Arabidopsis thaliana: one gene and its partners. The protein of the gene in region 2 interacts with the protein of the main gene of each other region in a biochemical or structural test. Each region holds a gene or a part of one and is shown on either strand. Other genes may lie near its edges. The genes, in order: TPR7, Hsp81.4 and TOC64-III.

Region 1 (11,039 bases), about 15 Mb from region 2:
GTTTGATAATAATCTTAGAAGATGACTTCCAACAAAACAAAAAGGATTCTTATCACCACATAAGATTTTTCATTTTTGTTTTGATTGACTATAAATGGCCAAGGAAAATGAGGTTATGTAGAACTCAGGAAGAGGTTTGATAAATTTACTTTCTTTTTTGGGCATGGGGTATTTTGGGAATTTAAGGAAGAGAATCCATATGACACTAGTCTTCTGTTAAAAGCCTTTGTCTGCAAGTACAGTGGGGTCCACCTACATGAAGATCAACAAATGCTCATTTTAAATATTGTTTTTTATTAATTATTATTATATTTATATATATTGTACCGCTTTATATAAAAGTTTTGTTATTCGATATTTCGATTTAGTGACAAGAGAGATGCTACTCTGGTGTTACAAAAATTTACCGGTTATATATATTAATTTTTTCTCAAAGAAGATATCAGGATAAAATTCGTCAAAAGCTTAAACGACGGTTAAGATTTTGGTTGGTGACATGCAAAATCATTGTTTGATGCTAGCTAGTTATAATTATACTATACTAATTCATTATCGTTGATTGGCTTTTTGTTACTTTCATTCTGTTCATTACACATTATCCGTTTACTCCGAAAACAAAACAATGGTCTACTTTCATACGAGATTTGATCAAACTAGTCAAACCTTTACAAAACTGAAAATTTGGCTTGATCTTGATTCATGCCTAGCTAACAGCCATGATCTTATAAGAATGATATTTTATATTATTAGTAATAATTTAGTACAAATGTTTAAGGAAACTAAAATACATATAACGAAGAAACGCAAGTAAATCGACTATCAGAAATGAAAAAGTGGGTCAAAAAATAATAATTTGAGCTTTATTTGACTAAAAGACAGCCAATTATCTAATTGTATTATTTTTGATCAAATGCACGCAGAATTGTAGTAGTAGTAATGTATTTCACACTAAAAAGGGTTGTTGTTGTTGCACACTAGAGAGATTGACATCACGAGAGTATGAGAGAGGGAGAAGGTATGGTGAAAATGTGTCTGCAAGCAATACAGTGGGGAAATAACGCCATAAATAGTCCAAATTCGAGGTTTCTTTCAAATTCAACTATATCCCCCTTTCATTGTCAATACTATATAATTAATACGGCTCTTTTTCAATTTTACTTTCACACTCTAACTGTTCAAGTGGTAACTAGCTAGTATTCATCATGTGAAGTCGCCCAACAAAATGTATAATTGCTAGGCAAAATTGATAATATATCGGTGAAAGTTCAAATTACAGATTTGGCTGAATTATACAAGTCATCCAATACAAATTACATGTTCAGTGTGATGATCATTACCTTTTTTTGTGTCTTTAAGAACAAATTCAGCCACTTTGTATCTTGCAACGGCGTTGCTTTGTTCTTTACTAACAATCGGGTTAGCGACTGATCATACAAAGGAAGTCAATGGAGCTAACATGGTTAGTAATCTACTAATCTTCTACCACTTATTTGACGTCAAAACTACCACTATTTTTTTCGATAAAATCCACTTATTAATCGACCGCACCAACCACATATCATTCAAAAGCTATTCTGAATTCAGAAAACTTTATAGTAATTTTTCGTGTGGGTCGATAATTAAATTCGATGTCTAATAACTACATATGGGCCACCGGTAAAGTCAAATTAAAAGAATTGCGGCTTAAAATGATTTGCAAGTGTGAAATTTTTTCTTTTCTTTTACAATATTTGTTTTGTGTCAAAGAGTATTAGGCTTCTTTTACGATATTTTGATTTATATATCTGCGTATATTACCCTGAAGAGTGAGTGAGTGACAGAGGTATGGACACTGTTACCCAGTTTGTTTACTCCTTTATTTTCCCTTTGGCAGAGATTTCTCAGACTTCAGTGACAGACAGTGAAAGTAATTTCTGCATTACATACAAATATATAACATTATTATACCAGTGTCGCATTTTTTTATCATAGTCCATTTTCATGATTTTTTTTTACTTAACTTGTTCTCTCATCAGGGGAAAACAATATATATATTATTATTTTCAAACAGTAATATTATATATAGCCTTTTCACCACCATCCAATTAATCTTGCTGTTTAGATAAATAACTAAAACTATGTTTAATCGAATTTCTTACATATTTACTCTTCTATATATATAGATAAATAAACAAGAAAAAGTATATATCTTTAAGGTACGGTAACATTTTACAATTGACGTATATAGTAATTCGGTCCTTTGACCTAGGAACACATCAGTGATTTAAAACCACTGATTACACCATCATCATTCAAACACTTTCTATTTATATCACCCGAGACATGTGCCCCCATGCATCTCTCCGACTCCGACCGACGTTGGTTCTGCTACTGAGTCCACCAACATTCAATCATCGTTATTGTTTCAATAATCGATTTACAAAAGTTTAAAATTGAATTACCATGCCTTTAATTGTGTTGATGCTTGATGCATAATATGAGTCAAATTGACAGCTTTATGATTTAGCGATTTCTGATTTATCAAACATGTTTTGATAGAACGCACACTTGTTAATAACGTTTTAAATCGTATAGAATTTTATTTAATTATCAATAAATTAAAAAGGGTTGCATGAAATGAATATCAGCTTATTGTATTATAAAGGTAATTTTGACAAACATTTCAATTTTCTATATTGAAAGTGAAAAAGAAACCAATAATACAGATTAATTAGGTTATGTTATGGAACAAAGATAGAGTCAACGCTATATAGAGTAAAGAGTCGAAAGAAAAAAGAGTTTGGTTGTCGTTGGTAAAACTTGTATGTGAGAGTCAATAATTACTGCTTAAGAAAAAATATAGATGCTATACTTTTCTAGTGAAACTTCATAATTTTCTTTACATAATATCAAGGATTTTTGTTTCTGCGATTTATTTGTAAATTGTTCTTAATAAAATAAATAAATACTAACTTAACATTTCAAATTACTAAAAATCACTAAATATCTATATAAATCACAAATCAATAACATTTTTAATCTTTCACATGAAGTAGAGTTTATTTCTCCATGCCATATTATAATTATATGATGATACATAGTTTTTAGTAGAGAGGGTGGATCAAACATGAAATTATTTTACAATTCTCATAGTCCGTTAAAAAGATCGCCAGTCAAGTAGAATAAACACTTTAACAAAAAAAAAAGGTAGAATAAACACAAAATTGTCTATCTTCCCACTTTCTCAGCAGTAGGTGAGACAATTTCTTCCTTCGTAGTCAAATATTTTCAATAATTTTTTTGAAGTTCCACCAATTATATATATCTATATCAAAAACAAATTCTTTTTCTGTATAATTCCATTCTTTGTTTAATAATTTGTTTTTGTCAAAGACGATATATGTTGATTTAACGTCGTATTGGAAGAAAAAAAAGTAGTCTCGTTTCTTTTTTATTTTATTTTTGATATGAGATTTCTCTAAACTCTATAATTTTCAATCTGCTTCCTTTTTCCATTTGGAAATAATTGCTGTTCTCTAATTTATGGATTATTGTATGCATGCACATGCGCTTCGATATTTATCATTTAGTTGTCAAATTTGGACCACCCTACTTCCTCCGTGTATTTATTCACTTTTAATAAACATGTTGTCATTATAAAGATTTTTTATATAACATTTTCATTTTCATATACCAATGCAAAATATGTAATGTCGTCGGGTATAAGTATAAAGGTTTTTGTGAAAACTATCTCTTGTTCTAAAAGTTTATTTTGATTTATCTATTATTAGAGAGGTAAACACTTAACTTTTATATATATAGTACATGATTATTTTAAATTCCATATGTGTTAACGTATATAGGTATGTGAAATTAAATCAATCTATTGTATAAACGTACATAAATTGGTTATTTCTCCCAAAAGTGTTAAAAACATCGCACCATGACATGAGATACAATATTTGAAAAGTAAAGGATACTCGCTAAAAGAAGTGTAAGCAAAATTTTAAATATATATAGAAAAGTACACATGACAACAAAAACGAATCATAATTAAAGTTGAGAAAAGTAAAACTGAATCTGATAACATGCTAAACTTGTTTTAAAACGAGGAAAAAGAAACAAGATAAAATAAGCAGATAAAGACGAGAGATGTGAACCGTGAAGAAGTGGATAAAGATGCAAATAATTTTGGTTTTAGTTTTGTTGAGAGACCACCAATTCCACCAATCAGAGCCTTTTCTGTTGGATTCCGTTCACACCAATGCCCAAGCGAATATATTTTTTTTGGTCGTCACAAATCTAAATCATTGCATTTCTCATGAGGAAGAAATGCATTGATAAATCTGTAACTAACCTGTAACCAAGAAACAATTTGCTAAACACATCAGCATGCATCAGAAATTCGGCATTTGTAATTGTAGTCGCTAACTTGCTGTATATACAGAAACAAAATACTTAGAAATTAAGCTTTTACCTCTTCAGTGTCAAGACGCACCAAGTATGACGCCATGTCGATCTTTCCCTTCTTCGTGAACCAAACTTATCAAATATTTATTATCTGATTCAATATGACACTTGATAAACGTCACTCAGTTTATGAAACTTGCTAGTCTAGAAAGTAGAAAGTATTGCATAACGACATTATACAAATTGTTTCGAAGTCACTACATAGTTTACTTCCGTCAAATCTGTAAATTGCCATGAGTTTGTTCACAAGTATCATATTAGTAATACATATTAGAAATACAGGATCAGAGGACACAAAAGCTCTAACCAGTTATACAAATCCGGTATCAGAGAGCACTAGGAAACGAAAAATTAAAGGCTAAAATTATGCAATTTTTAAAATTCTAACAACCTTCATTCACCAAAAGATTTCCAAAACTGAAATCACCATAGAATCTTCAAAATCTAGTCTTCAGAATAAGAGTACAGTCTACAAGCGAAGAAAAAAAAAAAACTTCTTTGCACATTTGTAAACAAAAAGTTAGGCTAGTAAGCAACCATTCAAATGGTAAATGTTACCAAATTACCAATCAAGTCCACAGAACATACACACAAAAACGAAAGACCGGATTGATGGGTTAATGGAGGAAGGTGGGGGCTGACCGGCTGAGAAGTGATGTGACGGATCCTAATAAGAACAGCAATCGTACACAACTTGCTGCTGTGAAAGAGAGAAAGAGAAGTACCAGTGACAAGTGGCATGCCACGTGGGCCGGCGGTTTAGGACCCAATCAGAGTGAAACTGCCACGTGAGATCCTCTCCACGTCCCGACAACCATCAAAATTCAAAGCCTTCTTCTTTCTGTTTCCTCCATCATGCTCTTTAACTCATTTTTTCCCTAGCATATCAATTTTAAAAAAATAGTTTGCAATTTACGGCAATAAAATGTGGGCAACAAAAACAAAACTGAATATTTACATTCGTTTTCATTGTACAATAGAGGGTACATTCAAAAAATACAACTCACTCATTATCCTAGATTGCTTTGCCATATAATAGTAGAATACGTAAGAATGTGTCTACGATGTATTCTAAAGGATAACAAGGGCTATGTGAATTATAAAATCAAGGCTATATATGTGTATGCATATTTTGGTTCGTGTAAACATGTTAAAAAGTTGCTTTGTTGTAATCTATTTAGAAGCACATGCATGTTGTAATCTAGCTTCGAGAGATGTTGCACAACATGTATCAGAATGCTTTAGCAATATTGCTTTATTAATTATAAGTTGAAGATATTGTTTCCTTCTTGTTTGTTATATGATATAACTTTATTAATCCATTGGTTTCATTGTGACCAAGAAGAAGAGGTTTGCTAGAATTTCCTCGTTCTCGCTGCAATAGTACTTAGTGATTAGTTAATTGATAATCATAAATCATATCAACATTCACTTCTCTCAGACTGCTATCATTTAGTGAATCATAATCTCTGCTAATATTGAAAAATTGGGAGACGAGAGATAGATGAGAGTTGTAGCTAGCTTTAGTCAAAGTGGTCCTCTTCTAATGTGACTATACCACCGTTTCCATTCTTTCAAACATTGAAACATTTATGCTGCGGTGGAGAGAAATAAACATTTCAGAAAAATTAATTGATAGATGTACTCGTCGATGAAACTATATCGAAACAATATTGAAAAAAGTATTACCAAACACAACTTATATGTCACTAAAACTCGTCTTTTTTCTTTGTATGGTCAAAACACTAAAACTCGTTCAACAACTGAAAAGATTGTCGTATTGAAATAAAATTCTTTGCCCGAATAGTTGTACATATGTATTTTTTTGTTAAGATCATTTTGATATTTAAGATACTAAAAATTCTGCAGAAGACATGCATATTTTAAAGTTTAATAAATGGATTACTTTAGAGATTGAGTCTATGAAACTGAATACTAAACATTTTTGGATTCCAACAAATATATTATGGCTCTGAATGGTAATCAAAACCGCACTTAAAACCGCACCGCAACAGTACTGTAACAGTATTAAAATCTCTACATATTCATATGTATCTATATATTTTCGTTACTATTTGAACCGCACCGTACTTCTCCCGCACCGCAAAACGCAATCACCATTCGGAGCTTATATCATGGAGATGTAGCTGGGCAAACATATGATATCGATATCCAGACCCTAAAGAATTTTAAAATATCAAAAAATTATTTGTACCCTCAAACAAATTTAAATTGAATTTTATTGACACTTTAACACGTGTAACAGTTAAATTGGACGACTCTTTCTAAAACGAAATAAAAAAGAGTTTAACAAGAGATTCGTTTCAGTTTAAGAAGAAAAAAAACACGAGATTAGTCTTCCAACATGGACAAGGACATGACAATTTGCACGTAATCATATAGTTACGTTAATCAATACAATTACGTAAATTAATTTATTATGGCACGTCACAGCATCATCGTAGATCAAGGGTAAAACAGTCATTCTCCATCATCCAGGCATATTCCGGTCGGTGAATTGAGGAGGTTGAGCGATAAATTTTCCAATTCGATTCTATATTATTGGAAACTACTTTCGGGTCGGCAAAACAATTCTCCTTCGATTTTCCGATTCTCACAAACTCAATCTCGATCCAGATTCCGAGCTTATCCTTCTCTGGCGAATTTCGATTTTCTGTGTTTCCGATCTGATTACAGAGAACCACATCGAAGCTTCGAGAAAAAAAAACACGATGTTTAACGGGTTAATGGATCCTGAGATGATTCGGCTCGCTCAAGATCAGATGAGTCGTATGACTCCTGCTGATTTCGCTAGGATCCAACAACAGGTTTCGTTATTTTTCCTGATTCGAATTATTCGATCGATTCTGAGGAGAATTTGTTTGATTTGATTTGATTATGGCTTTGTATGATGAATTTATACCATTGTTTATTATACAGATGATGTCAAATCCAGATTTGATGAATATGGCAACAGAGAGTATGAAGAACATGAGGCCTGAAGATTTGAAACAAGCTGCGGAACAGCTTAAGCATACTCGGCCTGAAGATATGGCTGAGATTAGCGAGAAGATGGCTAAAGCTTCCCCTGAAGATATTGCAGCTATGCGTGCTCATGCTGATGCTCAATTTACTTATCAGATCAATGCAGCTCAGATGCTTAAAAAACAGGTAACAATTGACTTCCTGAGAGAAGTTTTCTATTGAATTTTGCTTTCCTGATTATAAAGTAAGGAACAAGAATGGCTTCAGCAAGTGGACCTTTGTGTAATTTGATGTTAATCTCATTTTCTACTACGTTTGGCAGGGAAACGAGCTTCATAGCCGAGGAAATTTCAGCGATGCCGCAGAGAAATACTTGCGTGTAAGTCTGCAGACGTATCTCATTTGTCATGCTACTTGACAAGAAGAGTTTTATTTGTAACCTGATATGCGATTCTTTTCTACTTGTTTACAATGCTCTTGGACCATATCTCAGGCGAAGAACAATCTGAAAGAGATTCCATCTTCTAAAGGTGGAGCAATTTTGTTGGCTTGTTCTCTCAATCTAATGTCGTGTTATTTGAAGACGAATCAGCATGAAGAGTGCATAAAGGAAGGTTCTGAGGTATATTCTTTATGCTCTTAATTTTCTGAAAACTCATAGATGAAAACATTTTTAGGAAAAAGAGAGATGGCAATCTTTTGGCTTCTTTTTTGTAGATGTAACACATGATGTCATACAGCGTTTTATGATCTATTCAAAACTGTTTCGACATTCTTCTGATAAATTTACATTCTTACATTATTTCAGGTTTTGGGATATGATGCAAGGAATGTCAAAGCCCTATACAGAAGGGGTCAAGCTTACAGAGATTTGGGCTTGTTTGAAGTGAGTTCTTCTGTTGCTTATGGAACTTTCTTGAGATTCCTTGTCGATATATATGTTTGTACTGTAGATATGTCCTGACTATATGTTTGCTCAATGCTCATTCACTCTCTTAAACTATAAGGATGCCGTCTCTGATCTAAGCAAGGCCCATGAAGTTTCCCCAGAAGATGAGACAATTGCCGATGTGTTAAGGTATGGATTTTTATATTCATTACTGGTAATGTCATACTTTTCAGTTCTGCTTATCTCAGAGGTTTTGATATTAACATTGAAAAAATAACTTTTGACTTGAAGTATTATCTTTTCTGATGCAGAGATGTTAAGGAAAGATTGGCTGTCGAGGGACCTGGCAAGGCATCAAGAGGTATAATATTATTCCTTATGATTTATTCGAAAGAATTCAGTGTATTATGTCAGACCAGACGTTTCTTTACTACATCAATGATATGCTTCGTCCATGAATATGGAAACGAACTGAAAAATGTTATGTTGTTTGGTTATTAGGTGTGGTGATTGAAGACATAACTGAAGAAAATAATGTTACTTCCGGAGAGAATAAAAAACCGTCAAAAGAGGCTAATGGTCATGCTCAGGGCGTAAAGACTGATGTTGATGGATTGCAAGCTCTCAGAGATAATCCAGAAGCAATCAGGTTCGACACCTTTCCAAACATTAGTGTTTGATGTGTTGTTTCATCTTTTTGTCTCCTAATCTTGAAGACAAATATAATCTAAAGCATCCTTTTTCTGCTACATTTGGCACGATTAGTATGATTTTCTAATTGTTTTTATTCTTTCTATGGCCTGCAGAACTTTCCAGAATTTCATTTCAAAAACTGATCCCGATACACTTGCTGCTCTAAGCGGAGGCAAAGCTGGAGACATGTCACCGGACATGTTCAAAACTGCGTCAAGTATGATAGGCAAAATGTCACCTGAAGAGATTCAAAAAATGGTTCAAACAGCCTCTTCGTTTAAAGGAGATAACCCTTTCGCCCCGACTGCGCCATCTACCGAAAACGGTTTTACACCCACACCTGACATGCTTAAACTTGCATCTGATATGATGGGTAAGATGTCACCAGAAGAGCGTGAGAGGATGTTTAACATGGCATCGTCTTTGAAAGCAAACGCTCCAGCTTCAACATCATACGGCAATGCAGAAGCATCTGAACCACGGGAAAGTTTAGGAGCGAGTGGGAGTTCTTCGGGAAATTCCTTTGTGGCTCCAAGAAGCGGTTTCGAACCAAGCATCCCTTCTGCTCCGCCTGCTGACTTACAGGAACAGATGAGAAACCAAATGAAAGATCCAGCGATGCGACAGGTTTGATCATTTTCGGTTTATGTTTTACCAATTTAGTCAACATAATGTGATTGTTGATGTTCATATAGTAGTTTCTCTGTATATTGGTAGATGTTCACGTCTATGATAAAGAACATGAACCCTGAGATGATGGCTAGCATGAGCGAACAATTTGGAATGAAGCTTTCTCAAGAAGACGCTGCAAAAGCTCAGCAAGCCATGGCTTCTCTTTCTCCCGACGCCTTGGAGAAAATGGTACGAATTCGGTTTAGTAAAACCAAAAGAACATTCAAAGTTGATTGTATAGTTGTCTCAATTGTAAACACGTTGTTGCAGATGCGATGGGCGGATCGGGCTCAAACCGGGATGGAGAAAGCGAAGAAAGCAAAGAAGTGGTTGTTCGGAAAAGGCGGATTGATCTTTGCAATATTAATGCTCGTTTTAGCAATGGTCCTTCACCGTCTCGGCTATATTGGAAACTAGAGGAAACAACGGTATCTTAAGGCTTAATCCTTCGTGAAGATAAAACCAGTCTTCGGTGGGTTCGTTTAGTTTGTAAAACTGTAACATCGTTTTATCTTCTTTTTCTTTCCTCTAACTCTCAGCTTTTTGTTAGTCCACTTGTGTCTAAATTTCTTTACACTTTCTTCTGTAGTGAATTTTAAATTAGAGAAAATACGAATATTTCCTTATATTCGTTATTTTATAAACATAATTATGCTTCTGGTAGAGCGCCTCTACAAGAAAATTGGTTATTTGCGTTGGGAGATTCTTTTAGCAAATAGAAAAGACCATTTCTAATGGTTGTCTCTATTTTTCTTTATAAATATAGAAGGAAAAATAGAGATTTTTATTTTCTATTTTTATATATAGAGAAAAAAAATAAAGATCTCTATAATAGAGGTAAGAATAAAGATGAGTTAGAGTAAAATAGAGGCAAAAATAAAGTTTAAAGACAAAAATAAAGATGAGTTGGAGATGTTCTAAAGAGAAAAGTTCGAGTAAAAAATTTTTTTTTCGCAATCCAACGTTTGCAAATTTTGCGAGGAGAAATTTTGAAATAAGTATATAAAATCATCTTAAACTTTATTAAATTCATAGATATTAAAAAAATAAAAAAACTTCATTAAATTTTAAATTATATTTTTTTTTGTGCACCCAAAATTTAGATAATTTAATTATTTTAATATACGACTGAATACACATTCTTCAAAAGTAAAAAATAAAGAAAAAACTTAGAAGGATGAAGTACAAGAGAAGGAAACACGTGTCTTAATCTGGGGCCCAGCTAAATCAATTCTTCGTTAAAATGTCTTTAATTAAAAAAATAGAAGAAATCGAACGTCGTGAGAGGGAGGGAGGGAGAGAGAGTCAATAGAGACCACGCGCAGAGACAAAAGAGACCAAAAGAAAATTA
Region 2 (10,147 bases):
GAATACCGACGATCAGTGGTTTACGTCGGAGCTAAGGAAATCGGCAGACGTCAAATCGAGCGTTGATGAAGATTCTGTCAAGGGACCGTCGTCTTAAACGGCAGTGTTATTTTGCGTTGCACTACTCATATTCTAATCGTAAAAGTTATTTAAAAAAATAATAATAACCTTTAAAACTGACCAAAAAATTGTTACACAAATTATCCTTTTTAATCAAAGTAGTAACAACATTTGTGCAGAAAATTAACGCTAAGTCAAACAGTAACAACAGTATTATGTCGAACAATAAATTATTTATTATTGTAAAGAATATGTAAGCTGTGTTGTCTGAGATGCTTAACAATATGATTTGGAGCTGCTTCATGTATTTTATTAGCCATATTAGTCATACTAATAACTTAGTTATAGGCTACATAACCAAAATAAGCTTGGATTTGCAAGATTGTGCATAAGAGAACCTTTGTCATCAAACCGAATTCAGAGAAAAAATCTTCACGAAAACAAGCGATAGAAGAAATAAACTCCAGAAAATAGTTCCAAAATATTAGTTCAAACGAAAACATAAAAAAAAAAGATAAAAAGATAACCAATGTCTCAACACCCCTAATGATTAAGTCGACTGTGTGTGATAATTTAGTCAACTTCCTCCATCTTGCTACCTTCAGCATCGGCATCATCTTCAAGTGGAGGCATGTCAGCATCGGCTTCAACAACATCATCGTCATCAATGCTCAATCCAAGCTTCAACATCCTGTGAATCCTGCTCCCGAAAGTGTTGGGCTCATCGAGGCTGAAACCAGAAGTGAGAAGAGCGGTCTCAAAGAGAAGAAGTACAAGGTCCTTCACAGACTTGTCGTTCTTGTCTGCATCAGCTCTCTTTCTCAGCTCATCCATGATGGAGTTCTCTGGGTTAATCTCCATTGTCTTCTTGCTCGACATGTAGCCACCCATGCTGCTGTCTCTCAAGGCTTGAGCTTTCATGATCCTCTCCATGTTTGCAGTCCAGCCATACTCGCCTGTTACAAGACAGCAGGGTGAGTCCACAACACGGTCAGAGACGATAACCTTCTCAACCTTGTCTCCCAAAACGTCCTTGATCACTTTGCAGAGTCCCTCAAACTTCTCCTTGAGCTCTTCTTTCTTCTTCTTCTCGTCTTCAGTCTCATCCAGTTTCAGACCTTCCTTGGTTGCAGAGACAAGCTTCTTTCCTTCGAATTCCTTGAGCTGACCAATAGCATACTCATCGATAGCGTCAACCATGTAGAGAACTTCAATACCCTTCTTCTTGAGCTTCTCAAGGAATGGAGAGTTCTCAACAGCCTTCTTGCTCTCACCAGTGATATAGAAGATATCGTTCTGACCTTCCTTCATCCTTGTCACGTAGTCCTTGAGACTGGTCAATTCATCACCGCTCTTGGTTGAGTGGTAACGGAGCAACTCAGCAATCTTGGTTCTGTTTTGGGAGTCCTCATGGATACCGAGCTTCAGGTTCTTAGAGAAAGCCTCATAGAACTTGTTGTAGTCCTCCTTGTTCTCAGCAATCTCAAAGAAGAGCTCAAGACACTTCTTCACAAGGTTCTTGCGGATGACCTTGAGGATCTTGTTCTGCTGCAATGTTTCTCTTGAGATGTTGAGAGGAAGATCTTCAGAGTCAACAATACCCTTGACAAACCCAAGGTACTCAGGAATGATGTCTTCACAGTTGTCCATGATGAAGACACGACGGACATAGAGCTTGATGTTGTTGGGCTTCTTCTTAGTGTCAAAGAGATCAAAAGGAGCTCTCTTGGGAACAAAGAGGATAGCTTTGAACTCAAGCTGTCCTTCAACTGAGAAATGCTTCACAGCCAAATGCTCTTCCCAGTCATTGCTCAAACTCTTGTAGAAAGCAGCGTACTCCTCCTTGTTGATCTCCTCTGGCTTCCTCATCCAAATCGGTTTCTGCTTGTTCACCAAATCCCACTCATGAGAAACCTCCTTAATCTTCTTCTTTTTCTTCTCCTCCTTTTCTTTCTCCTCATCAACTTCCTCAACCTTGCCTTCCTCATCCTTCTTCTCTTCCTCCTCTTCATCATCAGAGATCTCCTTCTCAATGGTCTTCTCAATCCAGAGAGAGATTGGGTAGCTGATGAACTCAGAGTGCTTCTTCACCAAATCCTTAAGCCTTCGCTCCTCAATGTACTCCATCTGGTCTTCCTTGAGGTAAAGGACCATCTTAGTTCCTCTACCAAGAGCCTCACCAGAGGTGTCTCTGGTGACGGTGAAAGATCCACCGGCCTGAGACTCCCACACGTACTGCTCATCGTCATTGTGCTTGGTAGTAACAACAACCTTGTCAGCAACCAAGTAAGCAGAGTAGAAACCAACACCAAACTGTCCAATCATGCTAACATCAGCTCCAGCAGCCAACGCCTCCATGAATTCTTTGGTTCCAGATCTTGCAATTGTTCCAAGGTTGTTCACCAGATCTGAAAAATAAAACAAAAACGTATTAGCCAACACACCAAACACATAAATAATCAACGAAAACCAATACAAATTGCTTTTGACTGAAATCAATTACGTACCAGCCTTGGTCATCCCAATACCACTATCGATAATCGTCAAGGTGTTGTTAGTCTTGTCGGGAATGATGTGAATGAAGAGCTCTGGCTGACCATCGAGCTTGCTCTTGTCTGTCAAGGACTCAAACCTAATCTTGTCCAAAGCCTGTTTTCACCAGAGTAAAATCACAATCGTAAGTAACCAACCAATACACAGAACGTATATACAAATTACATATAAGCAAACTTTGTAAATCTAACAAGAGTCTGCTTAATCGTTGGTATCAACACTAAAACTAATCAACAGATTTGAACACAAACAGCTTCGCAACTTCAATTACCAACCAAAATTCTAAAATCGGCTAGAACACTAAACCCTAATCAATCCTAAATCTACAGATCGAACAGCCAGATCAATCAAACGAGACAGACAAGTATAAAATAAGGTGTAGAGAGATAGAGATCGTACATCAGAAGAGTTACTGATGAGTTCACGAAGGAAGATCTCCTTGTTAGAGTAAAAGGTATTGATGATGAGGGAGAGCAACTGGTTGATCTCAGCTTGGAAAGCAAAGGTTTCTGCGTCCGCCATTCTCGTTGATCGGAAAAAAAATCTAAGAGCTAGGGTTTATGAATCAAATCGAGAGATAAAGAGAGCAAAATTTTCTTTAGAGAGCAGAGAAGTGTTGATTGATACGAGACTTTGGGGAAGGATGTTATTATATATAGTGGTGTGGGGACTGGGAACCTATAAGGGTTTCTAGATCCTTCCTATTTGATTTATGTTAATTTGCTTTTCAGGTCCACATAATCTGCAATATAATTAAATGGAAATTACAAAATACAAAACTATTTTTTGGTAGAAAAATACAAAACTTTATTAAATTTTTTAAAATTTTATTCCCTTTTATTTTATTTTGGAGAACAGGTGTAATTTACTACTTTTTGTAACAGGTTTTAGTTTACTTCTTTTTTTTTTTGGTTAAATTTTGTAATTTACTATTTTATTTTATTGGTTGATGATAATTTACTATTTATAAAAAACAGTCAGATTTAATTCTACTCCCTTTTTATTTTGCAGAACAGGTGTAATTTACTACTTTTTTGTAACAGGTTTTAGTTTCCTTTTTTGTTAATTTTGTAATTTACTATTTTATTTTATTGATGATAATTTACTATTTTAAAAACAAAGCAATAATTTTATTTTTTGCTTACAACTTTTTTTTTCCTGTTTACAGATTGGTATGTGTATCTTTTAATAAAGTTTCAAAAAAATCAATAATTAAATAATAATATTGAAAGTTGTAAAATAAATAAATTAAAACAATAACAAAAAGAAACACATATTCTCTAAAAAGCGTGGGGTTTGTGGGGAGAAAAAATTGATTTTTTTTTTTTAACTTCAGAATTGATTAAAACTTTTTTTTTTTTTTTAACACAACTATTTATCTTGTTGTTATAAATTAAATACATAACTAAAATTTGAAATAAAATTTTGAGATATCTTGAAACTAAGGGATTAACTTTATCGATTTCAAAAAATAACCCAAAACTAGGACCGATCTAAAAAAATCTAAACATAGATAAACTAGAATGAATGGGAACTTGTAAATTCAAATCCATAACAAAATCGAATTTTGTATATGGAGAAAAACATTGTTTTTATTGATTAGTTTAGCTAATAGAAAAATTTAACAAAAAAAAAAAAAAAAAAAGTAAGTAGCACTTGTTCCAAAAAAAAGGAAAGTAAAATATTATGACAATTTTTATATTTTACAATTTCCATTATATTATGACGTCTGTTTCCACATCCCCTATATATTACACACTTTTCCCCCTTAATCAAACCATCAATACTTCTCTGCTTCTCTTAAGAATTTGCTTTTTGATTCACATAAACCCTAATTCTTAGATTTTTTTCCCGATCAACGATAATGGCGGACGCAGAGACCTTTGCTTTCCAAGCTGAGATCAACCAGTTGCTTTCCCTCATCATCAATACCTTTTACTCCAACAAGGAGATCTTCCTCCGTGAACTCATCAGTAACTCCTCCGATGTACGATCTCTCCCTCTCTGTCTTTCTATGTTTATCTTTAAGCTTAATGTGTTTGTGTATCTCCTTCGATTGATTTGACGGATCTATGTGTAGATTTAGGTTTTATTAGGGTTTAGTGTTCTTTTCGATTTGAGATTTTCGTTTGTTAATTGATGGAACCTTTTCATGTTCAAATTTGTTAGATTACTTAGTTTTTGATTGTATATATGTTGTGTGTATTTTGTTACTTATGATTGAGCTTTTTATTCTGGTGAAACAGGCTTTGGACAAGATTAGGTTCGAGTCCTTGACGGATAAGAGCAAGCTCGATGGTCAGCCTGAGCTTTTCATTCATATCATTCCGGACAAGACTAACAACACCTTGACCATTATCGATAGTGGTATTGGGATGACCAAGGCTGGTACGTAATTGATTTCATTCAAAAGCAAGTTGTACTTGATTTCATTCAAAACCATTATCTATGTGTTTGATTTGTGTTTGCTGATTCGTGTTTGTTCTATTGTACAGATTTGGTGAACAACCTTGGAACAATTGCAAGGTCTGGTACCAAGGAGTTCATGGAGGCATTGGCTGCTGGAGCTGATGTTAGCATGATTGGTCAATTTGGTGTTGGTTTCTACTCTGCTTACTTGGTTGCTGACAAGGTTGTTGTTACTACCAAGCACAACGACGATGAGCAGTATGTGTGGGAGTCTCAGGCCGGTGGATCTTTCACGGTGACCAGAGACACCTCTGGTGAGGCTCTTGGTAGAGGAACAAAGATGATCCTTTACCTCAAGGAAGACCAGATGGAGTACATTGAGGAGCGAAGGCTTAAGGATTTGGTGAAGAAGCACTCTGAGTTCATCAGCTACCCAATCTCTCTCTGGATTGAGAAGACCATTGAGAAGGAGATCTCTGATGATGAAGAGGAGGAAGAGAAGAAGGATGAGGAAGGCAAGGTTGAGGAAATTGATGAGGAGAAAGAAAAGGAGGAGAAGAAAAAGAAGAAGATTAAGGAGGTTACTCATGAGTGGGATTTGGTGAACAAACAGAAGCCTATCTGGATGAGGAAGCCAGAGGAGATCAACAAGGAGGAGTACGCTGCTTTCTACAAGAGTTTGAGCAATGATTGGGAGGAGCATTTGGCTGTGAAGCATTTCTCTGTTGAAGGACAGCTTGAGTTCAAAGCTATCCTCTTTGTTCCCAAGAGAGCTCCTTTCGATCTCTTTGACACTAAGAAGAAGCCCAACAACATCAAGCTCTATGTCCGTCGTGTCTTCATCATGGACAACTGTGAAGACATCATCCCTGATTACCTTGGGTTTGTCAAGGGTATCGTTGACTCTGAAGATCTTCCTCTCAACATCTCAAGAGAAACATTGCAGCAGAACAAGATCCTCAAGGTCATCCGCAAGAACCTTGTGAAGAAGTGTCTTGAGCTCTTCTTTGAGATTGCCGAGAACAAGGAGGACTACAACAAGTTCTATGAGGCTTTCTCTAAAAACCTGAAGCTCGGCATCCACGAGGACTCCCAAAACAGAACCAAGATTGCTGAGTTGCTCCGTTACCACTCAACCAAGAGCGGTGATGAATTGACCAGTCTCAAGGACTACGTGACAAGGATGAAGGAAGGTCAGAACGAGATCTTCTACATCACCGGTGAGAGCAAAAAGGCCGTGGAGAACTCTCCCTTCCTAGAGAAGCTCAAGAAGAAGGGTTACGAAGTCCTCTACATGGTTGACGCTATTGATGAGTATGCTATTGGTCAGCTCAAGGAATTCGAGGGAAAGAAGCTTGTCTCTGCAACCAAGGAAGGTCTGAAGCTGGAAGAGACTGATGACGAGAAGAAGAAGAAAGAAGAGCTCAAGGAGAAGTTTGAGGGACTCTGCAAAGTGATTAAGGACGTTTTGGGAGACAAGGTCGAGAAGGTTATCGTCTCTGACCGTGTGGTGGACTCACCTTGCTGTCTAGTAACAGGCGAGTATGGCTGGACTGCAAACATGGAGAGGATCATGAAAGCTCAAGCTTTGAAGGATAGCAACACGGGTGGTTACATGTCAAGCAAGAAGACAATGGAAATTAACCCAGAGAACTCGATCATGGATGAGCTGAGAAAGAGAGCTGAAGCGGACAAGAACGATAAGTCTGTGAAGGATCTTGTGCTTCTTCTCTTTGAGACCGCTCTTCTCACCTCTGGTTTCAGCCTTGATGAGCCCAACACTTTTGGAAGCAGAATCCACAGGATGTTGAAGCTTGGATTGAGCATTGAAGAGGATGATGCCGTTGAAGCTGATGCTGAGATGCCTCCGCTTGAAGATGATGCTGATGCTGAAGGTAGCAAGATGGAGGAAGTCGACTAAATATTGCACAAAGTCGACTAATATTAGCGGTGTTAAGAGTTTTGGTTCTATCGTTTTACATATCTTTGAGAATTTTTTTCTGCTGTAGTTTCTTTCTTATCTTGAAGCTTTTTCTCTGAACTCGGTTTTATGAAAAAGATTTTTTTATGCGAAAGGAACTCTGTTTCTAGCAAATCCAAGCTGATTTTTTGTCAGGTCATATAACTTAGTTATGACCATATTTTGCTAACCAGAATTACGCTAATCATATCTCACACAAAACCGTTACATACAGTGGTCATATATTAATGTAAGTATATAACAATATTAGTGTTTATTTAACTAAAATAAATTTTATTGCTGATCTTTTTAAAAATTATTTTTGCTATTACATGTTTTTAATAAAAGAAAGCTAAGAAACATATCATTATTGCTATAAACCCCACTAATTATAGTTGTTTTGAAAATAATATAGTTATTTTTTTGTAAAAGATATACATGTAACTTCAGCATTTTCATCGTTTTCTATTTTTGAAACTAATCAAAAATAATAGTAAGAAAAAAACTTTTATGAAATATATATAACTTATTTTCTCAATATCTCTTTAGTATATTGATTAATTTATGCTTCTTAAGCCATATTATTTTTAATTTAAAGCCATATATAAAATAATTATAAGAAAATTGAAACAATAATTGGCAAAAAGATGCAAATTCCAGGTTAATTGAATCAGATGCAGATACAAAATTTGTAATTATAATGAAATCGTAAAAACATTAAATGAATTAAAGAGAAAAAAAATACGACGTAGGGTGCAAAGAGGAGATTTCATCTCAACGCATGGGGGTCATATTAGAGATTTGAAGCCAAATGATTTATCGAATAAACTTTAAAAAAGTTTTTTTATAAATGTCATGGGGGTCAGTTGACCCCCCTCCTATATAACTGCCTCCGCCCCTGGTTACATAATATAGAACAATTTCTTGGCACATGGACCTAAGATTGACACACATACAAATTATATTATACTGTACCATAGAAAATATACAATTATCTATATGTAACAAACAACTATATATAAGATGATTAAAATATATGTAATGATAGAATTCTATTATAATATAATGTTGTATACGTTTATCTATACACAGTTGATAAAATTTTCCAAAATAAACCATAAATTTAAAACTTTACAAATACTCATCTTACGTAATATATTAATATATGATAGCTTGAAATAGCCAAATTAACTATAACAAACAACTGTGATGGCATATTGCCGTGCAACAGACAAGTATTTACCTAGTTTACATGTTATTACATGATATTTTGTTGAAATTATTTTTGAATTTTAATAATTAAAATACTAATTTTTGTAGTTTTTTCTAATTTTTTTTAATTTTATATAGTTTAGAGTTATAATCTATTATTTTTCTTCCTTACAATAAACAAGAGAATTAATTGTTTTATTGTAGAGTTTCTACAAAGTTGTTTTAAATAGCATTTTTAGTTAATATTTATGTTGAAGACTATAAATTGTTTAAAACAATTATCATTAGTTCTCATTAATTATTTACATATGATTTATATTTAAATCGCTAAAAATATGATTATCATGTGTTTAATTCAACTTTAAAAGCACATTAACATCAATCAATCATTAATAGATCGAATGAGCTTGATGTTTTAGTTGGTCTTATAAATTAATTTCCCCGATAAACAAAAACAAATTCTCTCCGACCAGATAAAACATTACATGGTGATGCTTCAAACTAAAGTTAGCTTCATTACATCTAACAATTTCGACATTTCTGTGATCGAAGCTCGAAGTTAAATCAAACATAGTTTCTTTGGATTTTAGCTATCGTTTCCAAGGCAAATCTCTCATATTTTTTTAACCATAAAAAATAATCTTTTATACTCTTTTTATTCTTTCAAACCAATTAATCTTTTCCTATGAGGAGATTTTAGTTATTTGTGTGAGCATAGTTATGAAAACATGTAGACAATAATTGAAACCCAAATGTAAAAGGTCCAAATTTAAAGTTTTTGTGGTTTAAAGCATAAAATTGATTTTCAAACAATATTCATGTAAAAAATAATGTATAAAAAATAAAAACTAAATCATATTAATGAAATATTCTTATTGAAAGAGAAAAAAGCTGAAGAGAGTGCGTGAAGTATGGTTGTTGGGTTGAGTTGGCTTTTAGAAGCATTATTTGATCTTGAAGTTGAGTTTGTGTCTAGTATGGCTGAAGATAAGATGAAGAGTAAAAACTGTTTTTTCAAAATGAAAAGTGTTTGGTAGTATATATTTCTTGGAGAAAGAGATAGTCTACATAGAGCGTGAAGAACTTTTAGAAGAAGTTTCTTATTTCAGTCTTGTAAAGAAAAACAAGAAGAATGGTCTTCCATCTCGTTTATATGATTTATTTTTTATACGCTAAAAATATGATTGATCATGTGTTTTATTCAATTTTAAAAGCACATTAACATTAATCAATCATTAATAGATCTAATGTGCTTGATGTTTTAGTTGGTCTTATAAATTAATTTCACCGATAAATGAATTTTTTTTTCTCCGGCGAGATAAAACATTACATGGTGAGGCTTCAAGCTAAAGTTGGCTTCATTACATCTAACAATTTCGACATTTTTATGTACGAAACTTGTAGTTATATCAAGCTTAGTTTCTTTGAATTTTAACTATCGTTTCCAAGGCAAATCTCTCATATTTTTTAACCATAGAAAAATAATCTTTTATACTCTTTTTATTCTTTCAAACCAATTAATCTTTTTTCTATGAGGAGATTTTAGTTATTTGTGTGAATATAGTTATGAAAACATGTAGACAATAATTGAAACCTAAATGTGAAAGGTCCAAACTTAAACTTTTTTGTGGTTTAAAGCATAAAATTAATTTTCAAAAATATATATGTCAAAATGATGTATATAAAATAAAAACTAAATCATATTAATGAAATATTCCTTTGAAAGATAAAAAAGCTGAAGAGACGGCATGAAGTATGGCTATTGAGTTGAGTTGGCTTTAGAAGCACTGTTTGATCTTGAAGTTGAGTTTGCGTCTAGTATGGCCGAAGATAAGATGAAGAGTAAAAGTTGCTTTTTCTAAATGAAAAGCGCTCCTTGGAGAAAGAGATAGTCTACATGGAGCGTGAAGAACTTTTAGAAGAGGTTTCTTATTTCAGTCTTGTGTAGCAAAA
Region 3 (11,572 bases), on a different chromosome or scaffold from region 2:
ACTTAAATGGCAGTTTGGAGAATGTTCAAGTGGAATTGTTTGAGAAAGAAATATGTAGTGGTTTGAAGCTGAGTATATTCCAGTATATTGTTCTCCATTTTCAGAGCAGCACTTTTGGAGGTATATTATTCTCTCTTGTATGAGGAAGCTTTATTTCTCTTAATAGGGTTTGACAAGCTTATAAGTAATTTGATTCGAGCAGTATCAGCACTGATCATTAACTATAATGTTAATCAATTTTTTTGTGTTAAACTGAACAGAAGTGTCATGGCTTCCACGGTCACTCTTTGTGGCGGGTGGACATCTTTTCATATGCAATGAAGACTTCAGGCAACTGAGTTTTCTGCCAACAGATGATGCTTCTTCATCCCCATATTTCTCACTTGACTCAAGCTGCTCCATCTCCGACATATTTGAGATGGTAACAAGTTTGTTTATTCTTTCCCTTTCTCTCGCTTATGTCAGTTTTTTATGTGCAAATTGGGGTGTTATCCAGGTTGTTGAATCAAGAGGAAGCTCGTGCTTGTCACTGAAGGTCAAGCAGAAGGATTCCACATTTCAAAGCAGCCAAAAGAGGACAGTGAATTCAGTAACATGGAAGCTCAAGTTACTCAGCCCTGAGTGTGTACCCAAATTTGTGGCTCTAGTAAATGGACTTCACCCAGATTCGACAGAATTCCCATTGTTCGTAAGGCATTTGGGTGAGAGATGAGCCGTAAATATTTAGAACTTGACATTTGTTCATAACTTCAAATTCATTTGATTCAATTTGTTCGTGAGTTTTGATTCATCTTGTATAAAGCCCTTGAGGGTCCTGTGGTGTGTCCAAAATATTCTTCGATTTGTATATTTTTAGTGTGTATCGTTCATACAACAAACAGCAAGGAAGAAGAAAGAAAATCAGATTAATATCTAGATTTTTACTTTGAAAGCCTGTGCTATTCTTCGTTTTACAAACTTTTGCAGGTGATGTAACAGTAACACAATGGAGGAACCTACTCAACCTTGGTCTTCTCTTCATCAACCTGTGCCATCAATGCCTCTAACTCTGCCTCCGATAAGCTCTCCAATCGTTTCTGCTCATTACCAACCAACCAAACCAAACTTATGTTAGGTAAAGTAGATAAACCCTGATAAAGAGATTAACGAAAAAGCAGAAACCTGCATGACTTGAGACTCGTAGTCACGAAGTTGCTGGGCATAAGTCATCTCCTTGTTACCGACTCTAAAGATATAAGTCGAAATCCAACCCAAAGTCAAACCAAGCACCAGTATCAGCTGTACTGCATTCCCCGCTTGCAACGGATCAACTCCCACATACTGCACCATATCATTATCACAAAATGAGTACTCAGAAGAACAAAGAAAAAGATAACAGATTCATTTGATATCATCAGTATGTAGATAATGAGAATTACCTCAAGTCCACTCTCTAGCCCGATACCAAGTGCAGTCACTCCCACTCCTATCAATATAACATCCTTCCTCGTGTAACCAAACGGCGTCGTCTATAACCAAATTATTTCACAACAGAGTTTGCTTCAGGACTACTACGACGATAGATTATGATGTAAATTCAAAGAGATGGAGTGCAGACCTTGGTTTTTGTAGCAGAATCGTCTTCAGTTTCAGTAGAGTTTGAGCTAACTCTACATCTCATTCTCTGTTTCTCTCCCTTTTCTACTGATGATGACAATCTATGTCCCTCGAATCTATATAAGACTTTCTTCGCAGCTCCGAATCCTGCATCATCACAACAAACACAGGAGAGTTTTACAATCGCTTCAGCTTGAAATCCTTAAGTTTTATCGAAAACGATTATTGGGGGAGAACAGAACCTGTGGTTTGTCGCCCAACCGGAAGAAGCCTTACAGACGCAGACAGAACCTCCTGATTTCTGCATAGATTCGAAACTCCGAACGGTAAAGAAGCCATTTCTGTGTTTAAGCCACAACACAAGCCGTGGTTACTAGTGAAAAAAATAATGAAACAAAAATTTAAGGGAGGACGAAGAGATTACAGAGATGGATGGTTGATATTTTTTGGGGCCCATAGGCTTTTGCTTCTTTAGTGGCGCGTGTTTCTCACCGCCCAAAAGACATGCGTGTAGACATAATTGCCATCAGAATTACTCAAATACACTAATTGCTCTTTTTTTCCAAGTTCATGTGAACAATGGGAGATTCATTCGCTGCACAATTCACAATTTCACAAATGGGCCAAATGTTTAGAAGATATGAAAAAATAAAGTAACTTTAATATAATGTAAACAGTTTGGTTTTATTATTCTCCCCCAAAGAGATAAAATTAAAATCACTCTTTTTCCAGCCCAGTGAATCAAATGAACCGGCCCTTTATTCCCATCATCTAACACCTAAAACGTCCATCTATAAACTCAAGCTGAAAACTCAAACAGCATCGTGTGATTGTACTTCTCACCAGCCTTAACCACAACAGACGGGAAATTCGACTGGTTAATCGCGTTCGGGAATCCCTGCGTCTCAAGGCACACACCCGCATGTTTCCCGTAAACCGCATTCCCTTTCCCAACCACTCCATTCACATAGTTCCCGGTATAAAACTGCATTCCCGGCACATTGGTCCACAAGTTCAGTACCCTTGAGCTAGCAGCATCACTGAGCTTCGCTGCGTGTTTCAGCCCCTCCTTCTCTTGATCAGGACAGTCCAACACGTAGTTATGATCGTATCCGATACCAACCTCTCCAATAGACTCGCCTATCCGCTTCTCCTCAGTGAAATCGAAAGGAGTTCCCTTTACAGGCAAGATCTCTCCTGTAGGAACTGTGTATTCGTCAACCGGCGTGATATGAGACCCCCATATCTGAATCTTATGGTCTAGAATGTTTCCTGAGTCATGACCTGCTAAGTTCCAGTATGTATGTTGAGCTAAGTTGATGGGAGTATCTTTGTTCTCTGGAACAGCTTCCATGTCAAGTCTCATTGTCGTGGCTGACGTGAGAGTGTATGTCGCCGTGACAGAAACCGCACCAGGGTAACCTGTGGAGGGGAACCGCAAAACATTATATAGCTAATCTAATCCCACAGAAATCAAATGCTAGAGAAAGGATATGTCATTACCTTCTTCTCCATCGGCACTGTGATATTTGAAAGTGATGAAAGGTTTTTCGCCGTCTCTCTTGTGCCCTGCAACTTCCCATATCTTCTTATCGAAACCCTTGTTACCACCTGTACAGATAGAGTAACATTTTACGGTCCAAATCCTATTTAGTTCACAGAAAGTTATAGAGAAAGTATACAGAGAAGAGAATTGTTTATACAGACCGTGGAGACTATTAGGAGGCTTGTTGATAGGCAAAGTGTAGTTAACTCCATTGAGACTGAATTTTCCCTCCTTGATCCGATTTGCCACACGACCAACAATGCACCCAAAGTATGGTGCAAGCCCTTTCTGTAACAATCATATTCATAGATAAAACACACATATTCATTAACATTGTTACAAAGTCCATCTTATTTTGATAGTTCATCACAAAGTCATTCAACAAGGTACATGAATGACCATATACATTTCTTAAATTATGATTCAGACTCTATTCATGAGATCCAGAGGCAGTGATTAGAGTTTCGATCAGATTGATTGAATCTATGTCGAGATCAGTTCAAGGATTAGGTGAATTCGAGAGAAATTACCACATATGGATCCACCGAGTCGAATCCGAGAACTACATCCCCCAGTTTCCCTTCAAATAAGAAAAACAAAGACGATAATCAGAGGATTAGGATTTGGAGACAAAACAGAGATCATCATTGAAAGGAGGAAGAAGAGAACAAACCGTTCTTGTCGGGAACAGACAAAGAGGTGATGGTGGTGCCGTAGTTTGAGATCTTGACCTGCATGGTGCCATTGTTGAGCTCGAAGATCTCTGGAGTGTTTTTGCTCTGATCCGCCATTAGAGGGCTCGAAGACTAAATTAAAGGCTTTAAGATTAGAAGCGAAGTGATTGGGATTGAGATTTTTGATTGGGGAGAAACAAAACAGAGGGTGAAGTGATTAGCTTTGGTTAAAAGAGTTATAAAATCGTAATCTCGTAACTGATCAATGTTGACGTCATCCACATCCCAAACTATTTATCATTTTTACCCCCCAAACAAAAAACTATTTATCTTGGGGGTTTTTGTTTTTCGTTTTTTACACTTTAATGCATTTCTAAACTTTTTGAAAATCAAATTACTACCCAAAAGTTACCAAATTTACTTTCAGGAATTCAAAAGTTACCAACTAAAATCCAAAACTATAGAGATTAGAGAAAAGAACAAATGTAGAATTTGGATCTAATTTTCTAATTATCAATAATATTTTAAGTAAAAAAATATTTGATTAGTCAGTTATAAAATAAAAAATTTGATAAGTCGGATTATATGCTTTTGACAATAAGAGAAAGACAAAGATATCATCAGATAACAAGAAAATAAATAAAATATACTCTAAACATATTCAGTTTGACCCCAAAAAAAAACTCTATACATGATCGTAACAGAGTATTCGCGTGAATTTAGATGTAGTTTCTCTACCCTTTTTCAGGTATCCTATGAAAAAATCAATAGTACCTATAAAAGCTTACTTTGTTGTAATTTATCCTCTTTTCGTAAATTTTAATTTGCTACCATCCAACATGTCTCAGCTTTTACCCAAAGTTTACAAAAAAAATGTCTCTGTAAAGGATTTTGATTATTCCCATAACTAGAAACAATTAAATCAAATTTATCAAAAATATCAAAGCTCTCTGAGACATGGAAAGAAATAGTGTAACAGATGGCCAAGAGGACTTTAGCTTAAAGAAGCACAATCATTTCAAAAAGCAAATCATTTGTCACTTTCTTCTTCTTCACCTATCCATCCACAAAAACACTTTCCTTTTCCTCTCATCAAGAAACTCCCTAATCCGACGTCGTTCGTTTTAATTCAGTGACACAATCTCCCACATCTTCAAACCCTTTGAAACCAGCGATTACAGAGATGCAAGATCCTCATGTCCCATCTTCTCCAACTATCTCCTCCGTCTCTTCCTCCGATCTTGATACTGAGGTCAGTTCCTGCAATCTTATACTTAATAGATAATCTAATTAAAGATCAAGCTCTTCATGTGTTTTCTAAGCTACCCATAAAGCTTTATGCTATAAAGTATCAACCTTTAATTAGAAAACTAGTTTAAAGTTCCAAAGGTTATGTTTTCAGAACTGCCCAGAAACATATATATGTACTTGTTAGAACTTGATTTGGTTTTTTTATTGGTGATGTGAGGATTTAGTCAACAGGATCGTTCTTCCATGACAGAAGCATCACACTTGGAACGCTTATGGGATTTAGTTTCACTGCAACTATGCCGATGCCATTTAGAGCCTCTTCACGCCGCCACGTGTCACCTTCCGTCGCAATCTCACGAGCTTCTAGCTCCAATGCAAGACGCAACCACCAGAGAAAGCGTCCTCCTTCAAATTCGGCTGAGCCTGAGCCGCATCGCCGCCGTAAATGGTGGCGGTTTTGCCGAGATGACGATGACGACGCCGCCGGAAATGGAATCCACCGTGGAACAGGAGATTCAAAGCGGTCATCGCTCGGGGAGTATCTAGAGGTGGAACGGAGGTTTGGAGATGAAGCCGTTTACAACTCCGCCGAGGCAGAGCTAGAGGATGCGGTGGTGGCACGGTACCAAGATCAGCAGCCGGTGATGGGGGAGCGGGCATTGTTCGCTGACGGAAGGGTTCTTCCTCCGGCTTCAGCTGAAGTGGTTACCGGAGAAGGAACGCCGGTAGCCACGTCCCTTTGTAGATTTCCGGTATCTTTAACCGGTATATGCAGCGGTGGTGGAGGATGAATACGTCGGTTCATGTGTGTGTCTTTTATTTGTATTTAGACTTAAATTTTTGTATTTTGTTCGTCGAATCGGAATCATTGTTTGTGGAAAATATAACATGTTGAATGTAGTCATTGTCAAAGTAATTATTTGAGAAATAATAATGATTGATAAGGAGAATTATGAAGGAGATTAATTACAATGGCAATAGTAAAAGATAAGCATATAGAATGGCACACATGCACAGCTTTTGGTGTAAAATGGAGTTGTTCACTTGATTAGAGTTTTTATTTAAAATGCTAAACGTTGTTCTATCATATTGAGTTTTTGCTTCAAATTATTTCATCAATACGTCTTTATACTAGTCAGTCTTTGGACAATAATTTGACCAAATCAGATTTTGAGGCAAACACAATATGATTCTGGCCAGGAGTGTGCCACATTCGTGGTTAATTTTCCACTAGTATTTCTGAAAGTAAAACAATTAACCACAAATCATCCTCATAACATAAGAGGAGAAGATTCCTAACGACGAAGCAAAATTATCGAACAAGTGGACACACACAAGAAACCGAAAATACGGCAAAATGTTTGTTATGTGTATCCATATTTTATACCAATTGAATTAATAAAATAAACTGTAAAAACAAGAAACAATTAATAAAATTAATTTTTTGTTTTACAACGTGAATAAAAAACTGTTGACAAAACGAAAATAAAATAAACCCTCGAGTGATGTTAAAAAAAGGAAGAAGGAAAAAGAATAAAAACTCAAAGGGAACGCAACACACTAAACAAAAACTCTTTGGCGTCCTTCTCCTTAGGGTCTATCTCTCTTATCTTAAGCAGCAGCAGCAGCAGCTAGAACAAAAACGTCACCGATGGCGTCTCAAGCTGCGAATCTCTGGGTTCTTCTAGGTTTAGGTCTCGCTGGGATTCTTATGCTTACCAAAAAGCTGAAGAAGACCGTCCGTGAAGATTTCGGCGCTTTTATCGATAAACTCATGCTTCTTCCCCCTCCGCAACCTGCTCCTCCCAAAGCTCCTCATCCTCTCACCGGTCTAACCTTTGCCGTTTCCGACGTGTGAGTCTCCGTTGACTTGTTTCCCCCTTTCTTCTCCCATATGTTTATCATATCTATATTTGGGGGTTTAGCTGAATGATTTTTTCCTTGGGTAGAGTCAAAATTTTGTTTGACAAATGTTGGAATCTGCGTTGACTCGACTCGTAATCTTCTCCGGCGCACTACATGTCTGATTCTGAGCTTTCGAAAGTATGGTTGATTGATTTTGAGCCGTTTCACTGAAAATTGTGTTTGTTGTAGATTCAAATGTGTGTGTGTGTGTGTGTGTGTCTGCTAGTTTTGTCAAACTCATTTCAAATCGATACTTGTTGAATCTGTTCATTGGAAGGCTCTACTGTTTGATCTCTGTTGCTAGGTGTTTGTATGTTTTAGATTCGTCACCAAGTTTGACCTCGACTTATTCATGGAGTCCTACTTATAACTGTCTCAACATGTTGATTGACTATTTATCTAATCTGTGTATATCTCTCATTCTCTTCTATGATCTTTTGACTTTTGAAGTTCTTGAAAAGCTAATTTACTCTTTCTTTCCTTTTCATTTGTTTTCCAGATTCGATATTACAGGGTATGTGACTGGATTTGGTCATCCAGACTGGGTCAGGACCCATGAAGCTGCTTCGTCAACATCTCCTGTGGTTTCAACTCTCGTTGAAGGTGGAGCCACTTGTGTTGGAAAAACTGTAGTTGATGAGTTTGCGTTTAGGTTTGTCTCTGTTTCATAATGTTAAATTGTTACCTGTATCAGGATTCAGATTGTGATTCCAGTGTTGAAATTTTTATTTTATCAGGATGTTAGTATATTAATTCCTTTGTTTGGCTGTTTTCATTTTCTTCAGTATTAGTGGAGAAAACAAGCATTACGATTCACCTACAAATCCTGCAGCTCCTACTCGTATTCCTGGTGGCGCTTGCAGTGGAGCTGCTGTAGCCGTAGCAACAAATGCTGTGGATTTTGCTCTAGGTGAGTTCAGTAGCTACTTTTTTCCTTGTTTGGACAATTTGGTATGAGATAACCGTATCTTTGAGAAACAAAACATTGCATAAACTTTCAAAACATGGTCAATAATCTTCCTTAGAAAATTTCTGAAACGATTGATAATTTATTTATATTGCAGAAACTTATTTGGCATCTAATAGAATTGCTTGATTTAGACTCTTATGGCTATATGGTAAGATAGTTCCATGCGGATTTATAATTTATATGGTAGTCTGTCATTGGCTCCTCCTATCAGTATCTAAAATTTCAACTGTCTACTGGTTGGTTCGGTTTCAATTGTTTTCAGAGTATAGTTTTGATTACTTGCATCTTTGCAGGCATCGACACAGTTGGCGGGGTAAGAGTGCCTGCTGGATACTGTGGCGTTCTTGGATTCAAATCTTCTTATGGGGCTATTTCAAACACCGGAATCATACCAGTATCTTCAAGTCTTGACTCTGTTGGTATGGATATATAAATCTTTGAATTATACTGTTTGTGGTGGAATGATTTGGATCTTATATAGGCTAGGTTTCAATTGTTGTATAATCACATTGCAAGATTTAGATGCCTTTGTTCGTATGACTAATTTATATTTAGGACCATTAAATGAGCATTACGTTGATTCTGATCAATAGATTTTGGCTTCAGGATGGTTTGCCCGCGATCCAAACACCCTACGTCGTGTTGGCCATGTACTCTTGCAACTTCCATTTGCCACTCAACGGAATCCAAGGCAAATCATACTAGCTGATGACTGTTTTCAGCTGTTAAAGATCCCTGTGGATCGGATTACCCAGGTGGTGACCAAATCAGCTGAAAAGCTTTTTGGAAGTATGCCCTTTACTCTCCCTGAAGATCCTCCAGTCTCTGTTAGAAATTCTGATTATAATAGCATTATCTTGTTTTATATTTAGGACAATTGCTAAAGCATCAGAACTTGGAGACCTATTTTGAAACTAAAGTTCCTAGCTTGAAAGAGTTCGCTAGGACAAAAGCCATTGCTAACACGAAGGTCTCAACATCGAGACTACTGGCGAATGTGATGCAGCTCCTTCAAAGGTGTGCCTATTGTTTATTCACCTACAGAGGATGAAAATATCTTAGTTTTGAACACTCTATAACAATATTGGCATTGTAGGCACGAGTTCCTTCAAAATCATGGGGATTGGATCAACACAGTGAAGCCAGCCATTGATCCTGTGATTTTATCACAAGTGTGTGAGAACCCAGAACTAACCAATGAAGAGACTGAGAACCTGAATGCTATCAGAAACGAGACTCGAGTGGCTATTGGTTCACTTCTCAAGGTATTCCTGCTCTTCCATGACATGTCCACAACTTGAGCGAGTTAGTTTATATGTCTCTTGACTAATCTCTAATGGTTCCCAACTCTGTAACGTTATGTATCAAGGATGATGGCATTCTGGTAATTCCAACATTGCCAGCTGTTCCTCCAAAACTTGGTAGCAAGGAGATAACATCTGAAGACTATCAAAACCGAGCTTCAAGTCTGCTTAGCATTGCTAGCATATCAGGATGTTGTCAGGTTAAATCTCTCTCTTTCTCTCTCTCACCTGCCATGCTAGTAAAGTTCCCCTCACACATGTTAAAAGCAACCACTGACCAGTCAGTGTTAGCAAAACCAATCCACAGTATATGTGTCTTACATTTATCGTGCTGATGATTCAGGTGACTGTGCCACTCGGACATCATGAGAAATGCCCTATTTCAGTTTCTTTCATAGGAAGACACGGTGGTGACCGCTTTTTACTAGATACAGTGCAGACAATGTATCCATCTTTGCAAGAGTACTCGAGTATTGTTACCGATCCCAAATCTTCTAAAAAGGCTATCACCAAAGAAGAGTCAGCCGAGATTGCCAAAGAGAAGGTCAATTAATATCCATTGCATGTCTCATTTTCTTAATGGCATTATCATCCATAATCTAATGTGGTTATTATATCTTTGTGTCCCGTGATTATGTAAACCAGGGTAACCAAGCGTTCAAAGAGAAACTATGGCAGAAAGCTATTGGTCTATACTCAGAAGCTATAAAGCTAAGTGACAACAATGCTACCTATTACAGTAACAGAGCTGCTGCATATCTTGAACTTGGAGGGTAAATGTTTCTCAGATCCTTAAAAATACTTTTTAGTGAGCAAATCTTTCTATGTGGCATTGCCTTGACAAATCATTTACATACAGCTTTCTTCAAGCCGAAGAAGACTGTACCAAAGCCATCACCCTCGACAAGAAGGTAACTTTCATTAAAACACAGAAACAGGTTTCTCTTGAAAAAAAAACACTCTTTACTTTGTAAGAACACACAACACAAAGATCGTTTTTGATTTCTTTCAGAATGTTAAAGCCTATTTACGAAGAGGAACCGCAAGAGAAATGTTAGGCGATTGCAAGGGAGCCATAGAAGGTAAGCTTTAAAGAACATAATCTGATTGTTTTTTCGCCTTGTAGAATCTGGCAGAATATAACATAAACTCTGCAGATTTCAGATACGCACTTGTGCTGGAACCAAACAACAAACGAGCGTCTCTCTCAGCAGAGAGACTGAGAAAATTCCAGTGAGCTTCTTTTGTCCGTACCTCACCGATCATTGAGAAAACGTTTGTTCCTTAGAATTTGTCCAAGAGTATAGGCCAATTTTGTCAACACTTGTCTTTTGCGTCTGATATTTAGGCATTTTATCTAGAGATACCTTTTGCAAGTCCGCCGAGAATGGAAAATTATAATATCCGATGTTTATTTTAAACGTTCTCTAAAATTGGATATCAAAAAGTAATGTTAATCTTAAACACCGGATACCGGCATTCCCGGTCGACTTCTAGTCAGCGTAGCGTCAAAAATAAGGTCATGTCTTTAACTATCTTGTCTTTATCATTTTCTTTTCTCGCACGTTATCTCCTCCCCACGACTCAAAAAAAATAAACAGAAAAAAAGAGGAGTAGAAACCAAAGAGACCTGCCCTAATATTTAGCGATGATAGTTTGAACGGAACGAAATCTGACGAAAGAAACTAAAGAGACCTTTGAATTATCTTCACGGGTGAGTTGGTTCGTTTAACCTTTTTTCTTTATCTCGGTTGTGCTTTTCCCCGAGAATTAAACGTGTGTTGGTTGCAGCGTTAACAAAAAAAAAGGGTTGTAGAAAGTGAGTAAGGAAGAAATAATCAGGAACATTAATAAAGGAAATGACAACGGCGTGTCCGGCGAGGACAAGCTCACTAATGGACGATCTCTTGGGCCTCCTTAGAATCCGTATCAAACGTGGCGTCAATTTAGCCGTCCGTGACATCAGTAGCAGCGATCCTTACGTCGTCGTCAAGATGGGCAAACAGGTTAATCCATTCATCATTTTACAACTTCACATGCAATTTCATTACATCAAAAACATTCTCAAATTATCATATTAAATCTTACAGAAATTGAAGACTCGTGTCATTAACAAAGATGTTAATCCAGAATGGAATGAAGATTTGACTCTCTCCGTCACAGACTCCAATCTTACCGTCCTCTTGGTACTTTTTACTTACTAAAACATACATTAATTTCCTTATCATAAGATGTTTATATTGATAAAACTATAATGTTATATGTAGACGGTGTATGATCACGACATGTTTAGCAAAGACGACAAGATGGGCGATGCTGAGTTCGA

The links.
Region 1: the proteins of Hsp81.4 (region 2) and TPR7 form a complex in vitro, tested with the Arabidopsis thaliana proteins (one study listed by BioGRID).
Region 3: the proteins of Hsp81.4 (region 2) and TOC64-III form a complex in vitro, tested with the Arabidopsis thaliana proteins (one study listed by BioGRID).

What each region holds. Positions count from the first base shown.
Region 1 is NC_003076.8:7,266,214-7,277,252, forward strand, and holds TPR7 (Tetratricopeptide repeat (TPR)-like superfamily protein), read left to right. Parts: upstream 1-6,857; 5' UTR 6,858-7,181; coding exon 7,182-7,277; intron 7,278-7,389; coding exon 7,390-7,620; intron 7,621-7,756; coding exon 7,757-7,813; intron 7,814-7,927; coding exon 7,928-8,056; intron 8,057-8,242; coding exon 8,243-8,320; intron 8,321-8,441; coding exon 8,442-8,512; intron 8,513-8,634; coding exon 8,635-8,684; intron 8,685-8,824; coding exon 8,825-8,972; intron 8,973-9,129; coding exon 9,130-9,643; intron 9,644-9,733; coding exon 9,734-9,877; intron 9,878-9,958; coding exon 9,959-10,105; 3' UTR 10,106-10,366; downstream 10,367-11,039. UniProt on the Arabidopsis thaliana protein: Plays a role in protein import into the endoplasmic reticulum (ER). May function as chaperone docking protein during post-translational protein translocation into the ER. Chaperone receptor mediating Hsp70-dependent protein targeting to chloroplasts.
Region 2 is NC_003076.8:22,674,398-22,684,544, reverse strand, and holds Hsp81.4 (HEAT SHOCK PROTEIN 81.4), read left to right. Parts: upstream 1-4,392; 5' UTR 4,393-4,477; coding exon 4,478-4,600; intron 4,601-4,859; coding exon 4,860-5,001; intron 5,002-5,108; coding exon 5,109-6,943; 3' UTR 6,944-7,207; downstream 7,208-10,147. Other genes in the region: HSP81-3 (heat shock protein 81-3), read right to left, coding at 634-2,468, 2,568-2,709, 3,013-3,135. UniProt on the Arabidopsis thaliana protein: Molecular chaperone which stabilizes unfolding protein intermediates and functions as a folding molecular chaperone that assists the non-covalent folding of proteins in an ATP-dependent manner.
Region 3 is NC_003074.8:6,141,312-6,152,883, forward strand, and holds TOC64-III (translocon at the outer membrane of chloroplasts 64-III), read left to right. Parts: upstream 1-6,594; 5' UTR 6,595-6,718; coding exon 6,719-6,921; intron 6,922-7,471; coding exon 7,472-7,624; intron 7,625-7,757; coding exon 7,758-7,882; intron 7,883-8,235; coding exon 8,236-8,361; intron 8,362-8,548; coding exon 8,549-8,731; intron 8,732-8,814; coding exon 8,815-8,959; intron 8,960-9,038; coding exon 9,039-9,207; intron 9,208-9,311; coding exon 9,312-9,446; intron 9,447-9,589; coding exon 9,590-9,790; intron 9,791-9,891; coding exon 9,892-10,019; intron 10,020-10,105; coding exon 10,106-10,157; coding exon of another isoform or gene 10,158-10,220; exon of another isoform or gene 10,221-10,258; coding exon 10,259-10,328; intron 10,329-10,403; coding exon 10,404-10,483; 3' UTR 10,484-10,771; downstream 10,772-11,572. Other genes in the region: AT3G17920 (Outer arm dynein light chain 1 protein), read left to right, coding at 14-120, 261-421, 497-712; DAC (uncharacterized protein), read right to left, coding at 996-1,076, 1,162-1,320, 1,419-1,508, 1,598-1,743, 1,839-1,935; AT3G17940 (Galactose mutarotase-like superfamily protein), read right to left, coding at 2,396-3,018, 3,100-3,207, 3,304-3,430, 3,673-3,722, 3,816-3,933; AT3G17950 (uncharacterized protein), read left to right, coding at 5,000-5,068, 5,292-5,858; C2 (Calcium-dependent lipid-binding (CaLB domain) family protein), read left to right, coding at 11,106-11,252, 11,337-11,432, 11,514-11,572. UniProt on the Arabidopsis thaliana protein: Chaperone receptor mediating Hsp90-dependent protein targeting to chloroplasts. Bi-functional preprotein receptor acting on both sides of the membrane. Not essential for an efficient import of pre-proteins into plastids.